Schizosaccharomyces pombe: one gene and its partners. The gene in region 2 interacts genetically with the main gene of each other region. Each region holds a gene or a part of one and is shown on either strand. Other genes may lie near its edges.

What was found.
Region 1: mutations in SPOM_SPBPB7E8.01 (region 2) and cwf24 together harm fitness more than expected from each alone (negative genetic interaction), as found in Schizosaccharomyces pombe (one large-scale study listed by BioGRID).
Region 3: mutations in SPOM_SPBPB7E8.01 (region 2) and rhp26 together harm fitness more than expected from each alone (negative genetic interaction), as found in Schizosaccharomyces pombe (one large-scale study listed by BioGRID).
Region 4: mutations in SPOM_SPBPB7E8.01 (region 2) and toc1 together harm fitness more than expected from each alone (negative genetic interaction), as found in Schizosaccharomyces pombe (one large-scale study listed by BioGRID).

The regions. Positions count from the first base shown.
Region 1 is NC_003423.3:3,039,689-3,044,273, forward strand, and holds cwf24 (zf-C3HC4 domain-containing and GCN5-like protein cwf24), read left to right. Parts: upstream 1-1,772; 5' UTR 1,773-2,113; coding exon 2,114-3,715; 3' UTR 3,716-3,836; downstream 3,837-4,585. Other genes in the region: vts1 (RNA hairpin-binding protein), read right to left, coding at 3,937-4,585. UniProt on the Schizosaccharomyces pombe protein: Involved in mRNA splicing.
Region 2 is NC_003423.3:3,492,121-3,497,443, reverse strand, and holds SPOM_SPBPB7E8.01 (uncharacterized protein), read right to left. Parts: upstream 3,223-5,323; 5' UTR 2,928-3,222; coding exon 1,218-2,927; 3' UTR 667-1,217; downstream 1-666.
Region 3 is NC_003421.2:1,178,393-1,184,497, forward strand, and holds rhp26 (SNF2 family helicase Rhp26 ), read right to left. Parts: upstream 4,247-6,105; 5' UTR 4,166-4,246; coding exon 1,244-4,165; 3' UTR 540-1,243; downstream 1-539. Other genes in the region: thiosulfate sulfurtransferase Tum1, read right to left, coding at 1-97, 155-433; THO complex subunit Tho1, read left to right, coding at 4,404-4,598, 4,658-5,548, 5,604-6,105. UniProt on the Schizosaccharomyces pombe protein: Involved in transcription-coupled repair (TCR).
Region 4 is NC_003423.3:2,401,644-2,405,996, reverse strand, and holds toc1 (Tor complex Tor2-interacting protein 1), read right to left. Parts: upstream 2,480-4,353; 5' UTR 2,417-2,479; coding exon 2,294-2,416; exon of another isoform or gene 2,252-2,293; coding exon 1,082-2,251; 3' UTR 665-1,081; downstream 1-664. Other genes in the region: rpl35A02 (60S ribosomal protein eL33), read left to right, coding at 36-244, 376-493; pgs1 (CDP-diacylglycerol--glycerol-3-phosphate 3-phosphatidyltransferase), read right to left, coding at 2,603-2,859, 2,956-3,722, 3,760-4,244. UniProt on the Schizosaccharomyces pombe protein: Component of TORC1, which regulates multiple cellular processes to control cell growth in response to environmental signals. Tor2 is essential for growth. Nutrient limitation and environmental stress signals cause inactivation of TORC1.

The DNA of each region.
Region 1 (4,585 bases), 450 kb from region 2:
TACTTACATGGCTTGTTTCCAGTCGATGAAGCTCGTAACGTTCGTTTCTCTATCAATTACTTTACTTCTATTGGTTTGGGTGCATTAACTGAAGAAATGAGAGAGTACCTCCTTACCATGCCCAAAAGCGAGCCAAAGGAGCAAGATAGCGAAGGTTATAGCTCTGGATCCGAGACAGGATCAACATATAGTTCCTCTTATTCTTCCACATACTCACGTGGGAGATCATATTCTCGGTCAACTCGGTCATACTCGAAAAGCCGTTCTTATTCTCGCTCCCGCAGTGTAACCCCTATCAATAATATAAATCATAAAAAATACATTAGAAAAGATAGAGAATTATCTCCTCGTGGGAGAGAACGGTCATCAAACCGTAACTCTTATTCTGATCTTTCCAGGTCATCATCATTGTCAAGGGGTCGCTCACGCTCTTACACGCCGGAGGGAAGATTAATTGAATCTGAAGATAAGGGTTATCGTTCTCGTTCTTCTTCACCTGCTTCACGTAAGTATCGCTCGCGCCAACGTTATAGACGTTCATACGCTGGTTCTACAAGCAGAGGCAGGTCCTTTTCTCGCTCACCCTCCTACAGAAGAAGGTTGAGTATGTCATGTTCAGTTTCATACTCTAGATCTCCGTCTCCGCTGCACGCCCTATTTCTCGCTCTCCTGCTAGGAATAAAAGATCTTATGACTCTTTATCATACAACCGTCAATATTCACCAAAGGTATCTAGAAAAAGGTCTAATGAATCTAGGTCACCTTCACCTTACACTCTCCGGAAGCAAAAAACATACCACTTGAATAAGAGGAACGAAGACTTTGTTGTGAAGATGGATAAAAAAGGTTCTGAATCACCTGTCATATTGGCACCATGGTTGCGTGAGGTTGATGATGGCGAACTTTATAAAGACAGGAACAGTGAATCAGATAGTGTTCGTAAACAACCAAGGGCTGATTAAGAGTGATTAATGGTTCATCTTCAAAATGCAAATTGTTAAATGTGATGTCTTACTCTTGTCGTTTTTAAAAACCTAACGTTTGGAATTTTATCCATTGAACTTTTGCTTAACTCAAAATAGTTTTGTACCATAATGAATTATAATAAAAGTTGAGACACGCTATGAGTTTGTATAATTTCCTACTAAACTTTATTCGATTTCAATTCTGTAAGCATACGCTATTTGCATTATAGGTCTGAGACCATGATTGTTTGATGTGATATAATTCATAAGCCGTTGAAACAGTACTTAGTAGCTTGTTCATCAATATTGCAGATTGCAAAATAATTAGAGTTGGATGATAAATGATAATGAATTAAACAAGAATGTAAATTAGATCGTCGTAGCAACGGCCTCTTCATGTTAACAATTTCTAGTAAATGGCAATGCTCTATACGTTTAAATTGAAAATAACACCCCCATATCTCAGCCTTTTCTCATAATCTCCATAAAATAAAATAAAAATAAATATGAAAAAATCTCTAGATGTGTTTATGAAGTACCGCTAAGCAATAAATTAAAGGGAACGCTGTGCAAACACGTATTACATTGAAGGCTGTATATATATGTTTAGATTGAAAATATTAGTCATTACTATAGTAATTAAATTATTAAGACTGATTACTGTCACAAAAAGAGAACTATACATTCTTAATAGAACTCAACGTTTGTTTTGTGCCTCGTTATACTATATAATCTTAAAAAGTAAATATAAATACCTATATATTATTAAAAAATATATCTACCTGAATATTACTAAAGCCCAGATTCGGTGGCCACGTATTTAGCTTAGCAGCTTTCTAAAATTTATATATTTGCATTTCACTACAAACTTCTTCTATTTTTGTTGTTTTATTTTATTTATTTAAGGGGACACACGTTTCACAATTTTGAGCAAACAGCAAGCGCTAATATTGATTCTACTAGATATCAGAATTTTTGAAGCACTTGTTTGGGAACTGTTTTAGTGACTATTAATTGTTTAAACTATTATAGTGGTTCTATCTTGGAATTTAAATAGGGTCTCAATTAAAGAAGAATTGACGACGTTTCTATCTTGAATTTGATTTTTCAAGTGTCTTGGTCATTAAATTATCTTTGCCATACATCCAATGGAACAAAAAAATTTAAATATCAATCAGGCTTCAGGTTCAAAAATCAATACCGAATTAGCTGTTCCAATTTTTCAAAGCCGTCGGAGACATCGCCCCAGACAAGGACTGAAGCGTAAAAAAGGATTCAAACGAGATGATGACTCTGGAGGCAGCAGTGAATCATCAAATGAAGATATGCGGGACAATATTCCAATTGTTTCGGGAAGAAAAAAAACCGTTCGCTTAAATCGATTGCAAAGAGAATCCGAGCAATTCGAGAACTCTGCTTTGAAAGATATAAATGTTGAATATCAGTCAAATCTAAGCGCTACTGGTGAGTCCGTTAATACTACAACTGTTTCGGCTATCAACGAAGATACGAGAGAGGTCATTTTAGGTCGACCTTCTCCGAAGTTAGCTAATCAGTCTACTCTTCCTACTGAGTTATTCCAGTCACAAAACGATTACTCTAGATTTTTGCCTAAAAGGAAAGATTTTGAGAAAAAAAGCCAAGTAGGGCCAGTTTTATCTTCCAATGCTTCTACTGTCCGTATGAATACAATTATTGACTACCAACCCGATGTTTGTAAAGATTATAAGCTCACTGGGTATTGCGGTTATGGAGATACTTGTAAATTTTTGCATATGCGAGAGGATTACAAAGCTGGATGGCAACTTGATAGAGAATGGGATTCAGTCCAGGAAAAATACAAAAAAGGAGCTAAATTGGAAGAAGGGATGGTAAAAAATGAGAAAAAAGAGGATATACCTTTCGTCTGTTTAATTTGTAAAAAGGATTACCGAAGTCCTATTGCTACCACTTGTGGTCACCATTTTTGTGAACAGTGTGCCATAACTAGATATCGTAAAACACCGACATGCATCCAGTGTGGTGCAGATACTAAAGGTTTGTTTTCTGTTGACAAAAATTTTGATCGGCTTTTGAAAAATAGAAAATCAAAGAATGACGAGGCGGTCAAGCAAAAGGTTGGTGGTTTCGAAAGTAATAATTCCGCAACTACAGAAGTTTCGGAACGTAAAGATCGTGAAGCTTCATTTCAAGGGTTTGCAGATACGTTGGCAAAACCAAATACATCGGCTCAACAAAAAATGCCTAGTTTAGGTGATAATTCAAATACAATTATTTCAAAGTATTTTATAAGAGAGATTACTGAATCCAATATAGTCCATTTCAAACGCCTCGTTCGTGTCGTTTTAGAGGCTTCTTATAGTGACAAATTCTACCGCCTAGTTCTCAAAAATCCAGATTACGCCCGCATTGCAACATTCGAAGACAAATTCGTTGGAGCCATTAGCAGCCTTGTTGCAGAAGATAATTCACTTTACGTAACAGTCTTATGTGTTCTTGCCCCTTACAGATGTCTGGGAATTGGAAGCTTATTAATTGATCACGTCAAAAAAACTGCCATAAACAATAATATAGACAGAATTTCTCTTCATGTACAAACAACAAACGAATCAGTTATTAAATGGTATACTGCTCATGGATTTAAGATTGTTAAGCAAATCAATGATTTTTACCGAAGGCTAGAAAACAAATCAGCTTTTTATATGGTGTGCCCGTTAAGTGCTCATAATAATATAATTTCAAATCACTAAAATTCACTTATATGTTTATATTACAAAAGCGATGTCAAAGACAGTTTGTAAAATTGGTTTAAGCTTTTAATATTTGATTAGTCCACCTTTTGGCTTAAAATAAACAACAGAAATCCTCAAGCAATGAAAAAAGTATTGTCAAATATAGCGTAAAGATAAGTGTCACTAGATGTGAAACAAAAATATCTAGTTCAGTGTCATTAGTTAATGATAAAAAACTCTCAGTCCATTGATGAACTAGAAACATCCTGTTTAGTTGAATTCGAGCTTATTTCGTTAGACATGCTCCCACTTGGAAGATCCTCCGAGTCAGTATGACCTTTGAAGCTCGTTAAAGACTCCGAACTTTGGTTTTTCGCCGCTTTTAAATTTTCATTCATTTTTTTTGAAGATACTAGCGGTGCAACTTCCTGAAAACTTTTCAACAGTTTACGACGAGCACCCAGTGCCATGATGCCTCGATTTTGCAAATCGAGATCACTTAACGAAACCAAAGCATCCCAATCCGTATCCTTTAAATTATTGGTATACTTGTGTAGGCGCAAACTTCTGAGCCAGCTCGGAATATCTTGCGGAAGCTCATTACCAACATGCTTGTCTGTGTTTTTAGAATGTGAAATCGATTTTCTGGTTTTATTAGATCCCCGTGAGCTTCTACGGTATGTTTGGTTCTTTGAATTATTGGGTGGAGTCTCTATTTTTTCAACTGAACTAAACGGTTGATAAGTGTAAGGAAGGGTGCAAAGGTGCATTCCTACGGGTGTCGAGATATTAGAATTAGGATCTATAGGATTCGTTAAAATCGTATTGGTAGCATGCATCTGTTGAGGTAAACCAGAACCAATTTCGTAATGATAGGGCTGAAAGGGA
Region 2 (5,323 bases):
ACTCGCTGTTCGAGTGTGTGTTTTACTGAAGGATAAGAATTGAACAAAGTCCACGTCGTCTTCTCAATCACTATACCCACAGTATTTACTAGCCGATTTATTCGCTTCCCTCTTTAATTCTGCTGGAAAAGCCCATTTTCGGCTATGACTACTTTCGGATAAGGTTGCTGATGGTTATTGCATTTTAACATCTGGCGTTCACACCATTCAAGCATATGACGACGATAATCGAAGCACAAATGCCGCCCATTGTGTCAATCAGATCAACGACAAAAGCGCGGGACCGCTCGTAACGATCGTTAGTGCTTAAGACGGAGACAATTTCTATATAACGAAAGATTTTTAAACGTTAAAACCGTTGTCTCTTATACAGCCATCAATTATAGTGAATAAATGTGCTAGCAAACATTATATATATATATATATATTTATATATTCCATTACCGTGTTTACATGTCTTTCCCACATTTAATATAATTTATTTACTCACAAAAATGCATATTTTTAAATTCATCACCATATCAATCTTAGTATATAGGATTTTTTTACACATGTCATCCGATTGTAACAAAACTCACTCTCACAATATTAATCGCATCTACCGCTCTATCGTCATACAAAGTACCTTCTATCACACTACTTTTTTACAGCGACTTAACTAAGATTAAAACAAAAACATCAATCGATTAAATTTCGTTCGCGTAAAACTGAAAGCATTCCCTTCATTAAAGAGTTAAAAAAAAAAAATATTAAGTGTTTGTAAAATACACACGAAAATTTGAGTGAGACAAATGACCCAAACACTATTATAGAGGCATATATATAAAATATACATCATCACGTCGGTTAAAAAGCAACGGAATTATAATCACACAATTCGGGTAAAGTATCTTGTAAAAAGATAAAATGTTTTTATAACTTAACAAACAAAAGGGCAGATCGAAATTCTATAGAAATATGTGCAAGGTATATTGATACAGTTATCAACCAAAATTATAATTTAGTAGCAATCTTCAAAATAAAACTAGTGTTTCGCGTTTGCATAAGAAAACAAAGTATTAAACAAGGCTTCATATCGTCATTAATAGTATCATCTCCTAGCAATAAAAATTAATTGACTTTGATGGCCAAATCATAAAAATCTCACTAACAGCTAATTTAAAGCTTTATTATATAGTAATATACATCAGGAAGATTCAATTTGAAAATCAACCGCGTTAAAACAAACTTGCAGTAATCAAGCACAATCCTGCAGTCAAAGTCATCATCAAATTCTTGGAAACACTGAACAAATCACCAGCTGCTCCAGAGGTGGCGGATGTTGAACTAGACGCAGAAGCAGATGATGAAGCAGTTGAACTTGATGAGGTAGTTGTAGTAGTGTTGGTGGCATTAGTAGAAGTGGTGTTGGTTGAATCCAAGATAGATGTCTCTCTTCTCAAAGGATGAAGAGCAAGCTGTTTACCAGTTGGAGCAGTCTTGGGTTTTTCAGACAACGATCTCTTAGCCAAGCTCTCGCTATATTCGTTGGTAACACCAGTAAGGTTGTTGACCGAGTAGCCCATACGTCTGAAGACAGTACGCATAGCAGGACCGATGGGACCGTAAGCGACATCGGCTTGATCACTTCCATAAGCACACTCGATGTAGGATTCAAGAGTAGCGCCAGCAGTATAGAAAGCACGCATCAAAAAGTTGGGCTCACAATCATAATGATGAAGAGCTACATGAGACAAAGATGATCCAGATGAAAATGGAACATAGGAAGAATCCAAGTAAATAAAAGGTGAATAGGTGTCAATGCCTGCATCAGGGTAGATAACCAATCTACCGGGATTAATGGCCTTGCGGTAAGCTTCGTTAGCTTGGATATGGAACTGAGTAGTTGTATCATTCATCTGGGCAACAACACCGGCAATGGAGTCAGCCTTAAGGGTAAATGCAGCACCGACACTATGGAAAAATTCAGCAATGGTAGGTAATCCCTCATTAGGGTCGATAGAATAAAAAATATTCCTGTCAAAAGCATTCTCAATAACATCATGGAAAGCATACATAGTTTCTCCATTCATTTCACCAATAACATATGAGACAGTGGGTAAAAGAGCGTTCATATAAGGATCAGTGAGATTCTCATATCCGAATACACCCCATCCAGTTGAGAAACCAAGACCATGAGTTATTTCATGGAAAAGGACATAAGCCAAATCTACTGCTTCGTAGCCCATATCACCAGAGCCAAAGTAGAAATTAGCATCAGCGTTCAGGGCAATCGTAATATCGCTGTCAGCATATGAAGGAGGATCAGAAAGACCAAGTTGCTTAACTACAGCCTGAGGATAATAACGAGTTAAACCATCACTGCAAGCCATGGGAATTTCACGAGAAGGAGAAGCTTCACCGCCAATACTGCCTGCTACCATACCTTGACCCTGGGAACAAACAGACTCGCCAGTACAAGCACCAACAACGGTAACATCGATAACAATTGGGGTGTTAAGGTTAAGCACACGTGAGAATTGTTCACCCACGGAGTCAGCTACATCAATGTATTGCTGACATAACGTGTCATTGCTATGGCCATCAGAACCGAAATAGCAAGAAAAGTTAAAATCAAACATGTTCGTGGTTGAACGCTTGCTGAATGATTCCTTGTCAACGTTGACAATGGCGCCATCACGAGGGGCAAGGGGTAATAATTGGAAATCGGAAGGGTTCATATTTCCGTCAAAAGACCGCTTGTAGACACCTTCAGCATTAGGATCCAAGTCCCTTTTGTTAACAGTGGGAATACATTCCGATTCGAAACGAACCGACTCCAAAGTTCTCTTGTCGAAAGTAGTATCACGGCAGAAATACTGTGCAGAAACACCCTGAAGCATACTAGCACATTTCAAAATCAAAGCAGCCTTAACAAGAAGTGACATCGTGACTTCAAAAAAATTAACGAGAATAAAGAAAAAGAAAGGCGGGTATTAATTTCAATTCAAAAAAAAAGAACACAAAGGACTATAGAAAACACAAATAAAACAAGCGTTTTCAAAAATCAAGAAGAATAAAAAAACTCTAAAAAAGAAAAAAACCAAAAAAGTAAAAGTTAAGAAAAAATCTAATACAAAAGGAAGTAGTAATTAACTTCCAATTGTAAACGAATTGTATGAGCAAAAGAATGAAAACTCAACAACCGCTTTCAGTTAGAAAAGATCGTGTACAAATGATGTTGAAATCGATGACAGTCGAGGTTGTTTATATACTTTTGCGATTTAAAAACCGCCAGATAATTGAGGACTGGTAGAAAATCCAGCACATGACCTTGCGTAATGCAGCCAGCATTTTCATGCGATAGATGAACAAAAGTGCCGCTCTCTCACCACGTAAGATCCGCCAGCGCAGTGATTCATTTGCGCTAAATACTCAATAAAATGTAAGGAAGTAATGTTTTAACATGCTTAACCATAAAAAGCGAAGTATCGAGGGAATTTCCACTTGGTTTCGGTCCAAAAGTTAAAATATATCCGCAATTGGTGGAAAAAAATCCTCTTCCTTTATCAACCAAGTGCACCTCGGCTTGGCCAAAGCATAGTCAGTATCGATTTGCTACCAGCAAAGAGCAGTCACGGAAACCAAGAAAGAGGTTGGATAGTAGGTTGACCCTTGCAAATCCTTGAAGATGCGGACAGTTTAACTATCAGCTCGTTTAGTGGAATGGAAAATCAGCTGTTGTAAAGAGTCCACCGTGAACCAAAAAGTCAAGCGATATCTCGTAAGCATCGTAAAACAAGTCCGTGCGCAATCCTGCCACCTTCTACATTGCATTTAGTAGATAGAGATAATTGAAGCCTTTTTAATACAACGTTCATGAACTCAGTAAAACCAGTTTTCTTAAAAATTATGGTAAACTAGATGCGAAAGTCGGAAGAGTGAAACTCCATGCGCGCTTTCAAAATTAGCGATATTTTATTTTCAAGTGAAAAAAATGAGTAATGAAAGGCGCGACTAACTGAACGTGACTGCAGAAATTTTTAATTTCATACCGAAATCGTACATGGATGTAAATTTAGGGAAAGTCTCTTGATATTGACAAATGGTTAGCATTATAATCCAGAACAGTCTGCATCCCAAAATGACTAGACACAATGAAGGTTAATAACATTAGTCTACCAAGCCTACGGAGCAATCTCTCAATTCCCAAAAATAGACACAGTTTTAATTCTCCTTACTTATGATCGTTTTACAAACACCGAATTTTAATCAATAATCGTTGAATGCATGTTGCTCATTGTCAAACTTCTTCCGATTACTTGAACGTGGGAATCCTATCCAATTGACATTCGTCTTCCCAGAAAAAAATTTTGTAGGGAAGAATTGAATCATTGAAAGACACGTTTTTAAAACAATTGGAAATAAATTATGTTGTAATAGAAAAAAAACAAAGTTTATGCAACTTTTCGCACTTCGGTCACCAACGACGCTGGTTAACGAAAAACGGAACTAACTTAATTCCGTTCCTTTTGAAGGTTTTGCATCTAGAGACAAAGAATTGCAATATCGTGCATTTTAATTCTGTTTAATGATAAATGGTCGTCACAATTGCTTCTAATTAAGTTGACAGCTAGCTAGCTCAATTTGCTGGACGCTGGGAAAAGCAACTAACTATTGGAGTAGTTGATCGGTATCAGGGCGATTGACGACTAGCACACAGACGGAAACATGGATTTCGATCCGTTTTTGCGGAAGTACTCCCAAAACTAATATCCAGCACTGATGCTTAATGGAGAGCATTAAAGCATGATTCGTTCAGGTAATTGAAAAACGGTAATTTCAGGTGAAAAAAAAAATTTACTATCAGGACCTTTGCATTCTCAATAGGATAAATGAACATAGCTTTATCCGGCAATTCCTAAATTTGATCCATGTATATCAACGAATCTCCTTGAAACATGGTAATATAGGAAGCAACGAAGCTTTCATACAGAAGTGTCGTTTTATTCATTTAACAACGCTTAGGTTTTTCTATTGGTATATTCAACGATAATGCAAATGATTTAAAGCAAGCAAAAAATGATGCCTTTTTTTGACAGAGTTTTTTTGGTTTGAATAAACCGGAGTAGGCGAACAAAATTATTCACATAAATAAGACTGCAGAAATCACCAGATTTTCTTAAGCTACATTTTGTCTACGATCCACAAAGATTTCACCTTGAGTAAGAGTCAGAGAACATACTTGGAAAATGAGGTTGTGAATGGGAATTCAAAGGTATATATATATATGTATGTTTGTAACAGCTAGGCAAGTTATTTATAACAGGTACAGAAATATGTG
Region 3 (6,105 bases), on a different chromosome or scaffold from region 2:
GAAATAAGAAAACATGCTCATGACCAAAGACTTTAAAGGTCCAGAAAACCCTAGGAGACGAAAAAAACCCTTTTCGGTCATAAATGATAACATTGGTCTAAAATATTAGTAAAATTGAAGACTAAGTAATTGGAATTTCTAAACTACTACTTACGTTTCTGTCAATTCCTAATTTTCCAACGTAAGAGGCGAATTCGTCAGCTGGAGGAAGCATATGAGGAAGGGGATTTTTGTGATCTTTAGCCTCATCTATATCAAAGTATTGAGCACCTGGAAGACGACTTTCTAAATACTCCTTCTTTCCGTTTTTAGTGTCTGTTGGCAAGTACCAAGTAGCATCCAAGAGAACGGTTTTTTGAGCATTATCCTTTAATTTTTGCAATACGCCCTTAATAGGCAAAATAAAAGAGATTTTTTTACCAACAGAGAACATTGTTTGAAGCAGAGTCTTATTTTGTTTCAGCGAACTACATAGACTTCGAATTTCAAGTAATCTTACGAAAGTACAGCGTTGGTTGCAGCTCCCAAAATTAATTAACGAGTCAAGTTTTTGGTAAAACCAAATATGTGTGTAAAAATGGTTAGATGCGGTTGCATTGCTTATATACAAATATTAATTTATATAAAATGAAAAAGTACTAGTAATAAGTTCGCCAATAAGCACCAAGACATCAAAATTTTTGAACCACTAGTTTTCTAATTAAAAGGTCTTTTCTGACACTGTCAACAAACATGACTCTAGCATTCTAATAACGTTGACAAAAGAACGTAGTAATTTATAGCTACAAAAAGGGTTGCACGGGTTGCACATACCACTAACTAAGCCGCTTTGAGTGTTCATACTTTTCTCAGCCAACTAGAAAGTTATTAACGCTAATTTTAGGTCTCAGGTAAAGCGAATTTGTCAAGTGCTTGCTTACAATAACATTAACACACTTTAACCAAGTACTTTAACAAAAGGGAAAAATGATCAAAGTAATTCCGACAGCCCTATCCTCAACATGGAATTGACATTTCCAATACTTTTCAAGCAAAGTAAACCCACCTAGTAATAAGGATAATTCCCATTCAAAAAATGAAATGATCGCGTGTCTATCAATAAATCCATAAATAAAGCTTAAATCATGAAAAACTTAATGTACAAAATAAAGGGAAATAATAATAAATAAATAAATGGGTACAAGATTGGGTCCGAAATTTTAATGGATACAGCTTACTCTAAGGCGAACTTCTTCTAATTAATTCATCGTCTCTGTTTTAGTCGGGCAAGAAGAGTGCTTGAAGTAATCGGACCTGATGGTTTAGAAGTACCAGGAACATTAGTAGATTGCTGCGGAGGTATAAGTTGACGAGGAGGTCGCCGAAAAGATGAAACTGCACGCAGAGCTTCATTAGCAACACGCGTCGCTTCTTTTTCAACCAATATGCTTTCAGTCTGGGAGGCTTCCATGATATCGTCGTGCTTTAAAGTACTCTGAATACCAGCACTAGCAAAAATATCATCAAGGACGGAATCATCCCCTAAAGTCGAATCAGAGTTTGTCTTAGTAACATTTGACTCTTGCGGTGGTTTATACTTTTCCATCGATGCAATCCCCATTTTTTCAAACACTTTGGAGCTGTTAACTTTTTTACCTTTGTCGTGAATTTTGTGCTTTTTTCGGTCACGAGCTGGAATATCTTCAGCTTCATTGCCATTTCTTGAGGAATTATCCTTTCGAAGTACTCGTTCAGATCCCAAAAACATGCTGCCTGTCTCAGTGCCCTCAGTCTTGTTATCGCCTAACGTAAACAAATCGTGCAAGTCCGTCATTTTAAAAAACCTTCTTTGTTTTGGATCTTTCAAAATTTTGTTAGTCAGAAACTGCTTAAAGATTTGACGATGATAAATTTTTTCTTCAATAGTTCCAGCAGTCATCAACCGATAAACTACTACATCTTTCTTTTGGCCCAGTCTCCAAGCACGTTCACGTGCTTGAGCATCCGTTGAGGGATTCCAATCAGGATCAAAAAGAATTACCCTGTCAGCACCAGTCAAATTGACTCCTAATCCACCAACACGAGTAGTTAGAAGAAACACATCAAAATACTCATTTTTATTAAAGTTGTCCACCAAATCTTGTCTTAAAGCAATAGATGTGCTACCATCCATGCGACAGTAATGAACATCCGGCAAATCCTTTAATCCTATTTCCAGTATGTCGAGCATTTGGCGAGTCTGAGAAAATAGAAGAGTTCTATGTCCTTGTTTTTTCCACAAAGTTAGTAATGCTCTAATAACCTTCAGTTTGCCAGACTTTTCAGGATCACCATAGTTGTAATCTTCTTTATGTAACAAGTACTCTCGAGTTACAAGATCTGGATGATTACAAATTTTTCGTAGTATATCAATTCCATAAAGCATTTGACGCTTTCCGTTCAAGATCTTTTGCATATCAGAGCCTTGCAAAAAATCTTGGTAAGCTTTCCTTTGTAAAGGAGTCAGCTTACAGAACAATACTTGTTCGGACTTCTTAGGTAAATCTGCAGCAACGTCAAGCTTCATTCTTCTAAGTAAATAAGGAGAAATTAAATCTCGAAGCATGCAGGCGCATTTATAAGCGGTTTGCACTTGAACATTTGAAGCATTGGCATAACCACCAATATTAATAGGTAAGGCAAATTGATTTTGAAATACCGGTAATGTACCCAATCTTCCAGGAAATACAAAATCAAATAAATTCCAAAGCTCGGTAAGGTTGTTCTGGATCGGAGTCCCTGAGAGGATAATCCTATTCACAGTACGGATTTGCTTACACGAAATAGATATTTCAGAATCTGGGTTTCGTATTTTGTGCCCTTCATCCAAAACACAATAACCCCATTCCCGTGGTAAAATCAAATCACCATATATCCTTAAACCAGCATATGTTGTAATTAAAATGTGGCCTCTAGTGAAGACACTTTCAACTAAGTTCTTAGCGTATCTGTGGAATGAACTTGAAGCACCTCTTAATTTTATGGAGGTTTTGCTTTCTTCCGCTTCACTTTCAGAAGCGTCAGATTCATACTGTCTCTTTTCGCGTGAAGCACGCTGTCCGCTGCCAGTAGCATGAAGAACAACAACACGTAATGGAGCCCACCATGTATGAAACTCATTAACCCACTGCTTCATTAAAGTCGCTGGACAAACGATAAGTGCAGGCTTTTGAAATTTGCCAGAGTGATGCAAAGACGAAAGGAAAGATACTATTTGAATAGTTTTTCCTAGTCCCATTTCATCACCAATGATTCCTCCGGCCTCTTGACAATAGAGTTCCCATAACCATTGTACGCAAGTGACTTGATAACGGAAAAGATGTGGGCGAATATCACCTGGGATGGTAAATCCACCCTCAAAAGTCTGTCCTTTTTTGGAAGGATGAGGTAGTAACCACTCATCTTTACCTTCAAACTCTCCTCTATCTTTATTGTTTTCAGATGCTGAGGCCTGATCTCGTAATTCCTTACGATTCGCACACCAAGCATTAAGCCTTTGTCGATATACCAAATCATCTCCATCATCTATAGCGGCAGTTACTACTTTCTCCGTAACAGCATCCACAGTTACGTACTCATCTTTTTCGTCTCTTGGAATAATCCCATGATCAATATTTGACGGCTCCGAACTCAAATGAGGTGCCGTTTCATAGTATGTTCCTTCAGACTTTATAACAGCCTCACGAATGCTAGATTCATCATCAAAATCAACTTCTTTTTGTAGTCCAGAGAGATTTCGAAACGGTGTAACCTTACCAGTACGGATGAGCTCTTGTCTTTCCAATTCTTCAGTCGAAAATGCACCTATACCAGGGGCATTTGCCGAATCTTCGTTATTAAGTCTTCTCTTAATATCATTTTCGTCTGATTGTAAACTTTGAAGAGTGTCTCGGAATTTAGATAATTGTTTGCGGAAGTTCTCCTTGACACTTATTTTTGTAAGTCGACTGTCTATACGCTCATCAAGGCGACGTATTTTTTCTTTTACAGAAGATATTTCTTTCCTGACTTTTTGAAGTCTCTTCTTTTCGATCTCTCGACTTTCATGTGCAATGTACTCACTAGCAGTATTCGTAACATCGCGTTCCAAATTCTCTTGGTCAACCGAAAAAACCCCTAAATGGGATAGATCTTCATTGACACTCATATCCTATCAATTTCTTAAATAAAGTCTCATTTTCAGACTCACTGCAAATTTAAGAAAATACTTTGTTGTTTGGTTAAGGGCAAAATTACATATTCCTTCATGCTGCTCCTGTTATAGCGAGAAGCAATGAACCACACAAAGCAATAACGAATAAATCCTTATTTCTAAATGACATTGTCAATGCTAGATAAACTCACGTTTCTGCGCGCGGATTGTATATTCGCAGACTTTTAAAGTAATGGAGGTGCAAAAGGGTTTAATTGAAGCTTTTTATAATACATATCCATTAGAAAAGGCAAAAGAACTGGATAAGAGTCCACTTTGTTCTGAATATGAATTATTCATCAAAGAATTATGGCCTTCGATTGTTGAGAGTTTTCATAACTCAACTGAGTTTGAAACGGCAATAAGATTTTGCTGTTATGAAACAGCAGTATGTGCTTTTTCCATAATGAAGTTTTCCTTAAGTTACTAATTGTTATTTTCGTGTAGCGCAAAAGTGAGATTGGATTGGAGGAGCGATTAAAATGTTTATTTGCGATTTTGGATCTCTTAGTAATAGGGAACGAAATTAACGAAAGCTTCTGTGATCACCTGTTGCCTTTTCTAATCTTGGAAGAGCTGATGGACATTCACACCGTCAACGAATGCGCCAAATTATATGAATATTTTGAAACCAGACCTAGCTTGATGAAAGGTATTGTCAGCAATCGTGGAAGAGGACCCGTTTTGCTTCGGATATCAAATGAATTACTCCGGCGTCTTTCTCGGCAAGAAAATTCATCTTTTTGTGGGCGGATCGATATTCTGCTAAGTAAGGCTTTCCCCCCTGAAGAACGGAGTGGAGCCAATTTACGTGGAGATTATAATACTGTTCATTCTTTTGGGAAGGTAGAACTGTCACCACCATCCACACCCATTTCGGACCGAACAGACCTCTCATATCACAAAAAACTTAATACCTTATTTACTGCTTATTGGGATTTGCAGTGTATGTGCTCCAACCCTCCTAAATTACTAGCAAGTGATACCTTACCTAAGTTTATAGATGCAGCTGGTTCTGCAATACAGGCATTCGAATCTATATTACAAAATACGTTCTTCAATGGGAAGTCAAACCCTACAATTGATCCAAACTCTAGCTCATTACTTTCTGAAAAATATATAACTTTGGATAAAGGATTTCCTTCTAAATATATATATTCTCGGTCGCTTTTTGAATACCAACTTTCAGATGAAGATTTCCGGTTACAGGCTATTTTACAATTAATTATTATTTTCGACTTTTTGCTTGACCATTCTAAAGAACGAATTGAAAGGAGAACTCTTGAAAAATGGACAAATAAGGCGGTAATTCCCATTGTTATTTTGTCTGACGAAGATGTATGTTCTTTTTTAGACTCGAAAAAAACTGATTTTATTGATTGCTAATATGTAGACCTCAAAGTTAAATGAATTATCCAAAGAAGCATATAGTTTCTTACATACTGCCCGGTGTGGTTCTGTGCAAAGAACCATTAAAGAAATTATACATATTGAGGGTAATTGGAAATTATGGAAAGGGCTTGGCTGCCCTTCCCTTGAAAAACCCCTAGTAGATAAAGCGGCTATTGATGAAGCTGTCGAAGGCTTAAAAAAGCTTACAAACACCCCAGTGAAATTAAGATTTGCTATGGGAAATGCTGCTTTGTCGAGGCTCTGGGAGCAGGCTGGAGAAAATACCCTTGATGATCTCAAAAAGGAGGAAAGGTACCGGATTCCATCACCTGAGAGCTTTTTATCTGGCGTTAAAGCAGACAAGTTTGAAATAGAAGAGGCAGTTAGAGATGATGACAAGCATTTCCATGAACAGTCCTTGGCAACGAAGACATGGCGTGCCTTTCGTTCAGCAATTAATAGCCATCTTCAAAACTTTTCGGATACCGGACTAGGTGATGTTG
Region 4 (4,353 bases), 1.1 Mb from region 2:
CACCACACTAAGAGTTCCGCCTTTACCAAGTCAAAATGCCTGCTCAGGGACACAGATTGTACGTTAAAGCTAAACATCTCTCTTTTCAAAGAAGCAAACATGTTATCCACCCAGGAACTTCTTTGGTAAAGATTGAGGGATGTGATTCTAAGGAAGAAGCCCAATTTTACCTAGGCAAGCGTATTTGCTTCGTCTACAAAAGCAACAAGCCCGTTCGTGGATCCAAGATTCGTGTCATTTGGGGGTAAGTTTATTTTTGTAATTAAATTCTTGCGTTTCTTTGGAGAATATGAAGAAACGTTAATGCTATATTTTCACGGTCGTTTTTTGTTGGCTAAACGAATACATTCAAAACCTTTACTAATTACGTTTTAGAACTGTTAGTCGTCCTCATGGAAATTCTGGTGTTGTTCGTGCTCGTTTCACCCATAATCTTCCTCCCAAGACCTTTGGTGCCTCTCTCCGTGTCATGCTTTATCCCTCCAATGTTTAAATAAAATATTTTTATGTTCACAACAATTCTTCTGCTTCTTAGATTTATTTTATTTAGGGAATCCCATTTTATCGAAAGCCTCGTTTGTTATACAAAGTAATCAATGCTTTTGGTATTATTTACTCACTAGGAATTTGTAATTGGTACATTAAAACACAATTATTAATTTAAGTTTAATCAATATTGATGTTAAATAACAAAAGCTGTAAATTTGTATAGGTAACTTTTGAGAATCGTTTCACGAAGTATCATTTCAGTCGTCTGTTCTTAGGGTGTTGATGGGCAACACTGCATCAATTACTTAGGTATTGTAAATTCACTAGTTTGGCGTCTAACCTTTAGTACTGAATACTACCTTGTTTATGCAGGTAGTTCGATCGAATACTGTCGAGCATGTTTATAATCGGCTGTCGATCATACAAATCAAAAGCAAATCAATTATTAACCCCAACTATAATTATTTAAAAATAGTATAAAATAATAGCAAAATTATTATCAACGAAACAAAATCATCAAGCATTCTTTGTGAGAAAAAAAGGAGCGCAAGAAATAGTCCTAAATTGTAAAGATAAAACACATAGACGCTATTCAATTTAAACTCTTCCAACCTTGAGCCAAAAACGACTGTTTATAAGGTCTAAAAGCTTTTGAATTGTCAAGATCATCACTTAATACATAGCCCATACTTCGGGCTTGGATACTTCGACTATGTTCGTCTGCCTTTTTCAACATTTGGATCCATCTATTTTTCCGATCGACAAACGAAGAGGGTGAGGCTTCAAAGGAGGATTCTGAGCTAAGACTTGACGAAGGAGAATGATTTGTGAATATAGGAGAAGAATCAATATTTAATGGTAAACTTCCTGAGTGAATTTCCATAGCATCCACTTTGCTAGTAAAATCTTCATTTTCCTCGTCGCTCGGAATCGTGGTTGACATTTCAAGTGAATCGCCCGATTTGTTATTATTTATGTTGTTTGTGTCAAAATCGAATTCAAGTTCTTCATCAGATCTGAAAGTTAAAGTAGATAGATTTTCTATATCGTTTAACGAATCCGAAGACGCTTCATAGTCTGGGTTGTCAAGTTTGAACTGTTTGGAATACTGCATTGGCTGGTTAAAATACTTGCCGGGCTTGTCCGAAAAGGCAACTTGATATTCATCAGTAAAAGCAACATGCTTTTTTGGCTTCGATTTTCGACGTTGAGTAGACCGACTTTCGTCGATCATGGCATGGTCAGCATCAATGGCATCACTCGACTCCTTTGGTGATGCGATATTGCTATCATATATGGTTTTCACTTCCTTCTCTAGTGATTTCTCAATTGTCGAAGCATCTTCTAACAATTTAGTTTCGTAGGCTTCATAGTTGAGTTGCTGATTACGCATAAACGCAAGTAGTGATAAACGATTTGTTGATCTCTTTGACAACAAAAGTTCTTCGACTGTACGCTTAATTTCCTTGTTTACTAGTGAAGAAAATGAAGCCCGTATTTCATCTTCCCGAGGTTCAGCTCGCGCTTTAATTATGTCCATTCGAATGCCCAATTCTGAAATAGGAAAAGATGCTCTTACAGAAGAAAGAGAAATAGCTGAATCGTATATGTAAACTTTCACGTTTTCTTCTTGAAATAATTTCTGCGGTTCCTCGGATATTTCAATATTTCCCTGCACAGCAAGAATACATAAGTTGCAGCCTCGACAAGCAACAGCTGAACAATTTTCAGCTTTGCATATTTGCAATAAACTATAAATTTTCTATTGAATTAGTTATATTTGATTTCATTAAGGTTAGCGTACAATTTTTATGAGATCACGAGGAACAAATATCCATTGATGTTTGGTTTCATTAGGAATTCCTAAAACACGTATATTGAGACATTCACAACTTATTCCATCGCCAAATGGCGATTGCAATTGCATTAAATCTACTATGAAGATTTCGTCAACGCTCGAATCGCGTTGCTCAGTGAGATCGGCGTTGGCAAGAATTAGGTACGCCGTTGTCGATGTAATATAATTGATACAGTATTGTGCTATACTACATGCTTAATAACGCCGAAAAATCTAATTCTTGATAATTTATTTATAAATTTTATTAAATTCATATTATAATTTTTTCTTCATGAGAGAAGTCAAAGCCTTCACATACATAGGAACCTTTTCTAACTGACAGGTATTCATAGGCTTTGTGTGCTGTTTAATAAGTTCAATTTCAGTAGAAAATTTTCTCTTTAATTTTTCATTCTGTGTCATTACAACTAAGGTGGATTCAAGGTCCAACTGTTGAGACCTACTCGTATAATTGGAAGACCCAATCGTCGTTAAAAAAGGATGCTTGTGATGTTGTGTACTCAACCAAAATCCTAAAATAGTGTTAGTGAATTTTTCAAAGATATATGACTTAAGTGCCGTGCTCCAAAAAATATTTATAATGGAAAACGACAGACTGTAGTGTTTACCTTTAGCATGATATGTATTCCCCTTATTTTGCCATTGTAAGACATCAATATTTCTTTTCTTCTTTCTTGAATCTTTAAGAAATTGTTCAGCAATATACTGATACGCTGGTGGAATTAATTTCGATGGTCCAGGAGATCGATAAAATCCATTAGCCTGTTGAGAAGCCACGATTACTTCCCCTATACCTTCAGATTTCAACAACTGTTTTCTAAGTGCTGGATAAACATTAAAATAGCCAGCCGTTAAGGTCCAATTAACCTCCTTGCGCGATAGCAAGGTCCCGATTATAGACAAGACCTTTTCTTCAGTAGAATGTACGTCAGAAGTAAGGATAGGTACACATTGAAAAAGTGGGTATACGATAGCAGATTCTTCATATTTATGAAATGGCTTATTGTTGTCATCACCTGCTTGATTAATTAATTCAGAGCCATATACTGATGATAACGGTTTAGAAGGGTTGCGAGACAAGAATTTCTCTCGATTCCCCTGAAGAAGTTGTTGAATTTTAGCAGAAGCTGCTACCCGAAACTCTTGAGGATTTGTTAAAGGATTTGGACATGAATTGTTCCATTTCAAAGTAAAAGGAATAACCGGGGACGTAGAAGATAGTTGAATTGAGGAATCGGATAAATGAGGGATACACTCAAAAGAAAGCTGTGAAAACAAAAAATGCGTTTTAAAGAAAAAGTCCGCTAAACCCTTATCACTAAACAAATAATACCGGTCTTTTCGATTTGTAAAGTAATCTCTCGAAAGATTGGCTCTATTCGTTAGTATAGTAAATAATCATTTGCCTTTACCCGCTGATAATGAGGTTATCATCTGCACCATATATTTTCATATGCTGCAATCCCCATCCCTCATTAAATCTGTGTGGAACCAATTGCTTTCTTAGTCCACGCAAATTCGGTGTATGGTAAAGCTTGATTTCGCATCTATCAGGAAACTTCTTTTTCAATTGCATTAATAGAGATGCAGAGCAACAACCAGGGCTTTCCCTAGTACACCGCAATTGATCTGCCAGAATGTGAACATGCAAAGAGGGATTGTTGCTTAGCGCATTTGATAGACAATTGATCAATTCTCGCTCTTCTTTTCCAATGTATAGCGTTGATAGAAATATTCTTTTTTGAGCTTTTTTGATTAATTTTTTCAAGCGTTGATAAAACTCAGGAGGTTCATGAATGATATCAATATCATCAACGTTAACATAGAATTTGGGACACACACCGTCAATCTGAGATTCCAAGTTGACAAATATGTTTTTCTCTATTCCTTCATCCATTAGGCTGTTTAAATTGGTGTGCTAGGTTAGTGTGAGATACATTGAGCTTGCAAACCCGTTCATGCAGTAGAAAGGTCAATATCCAACGGTAATTTGAACGTGAAATATA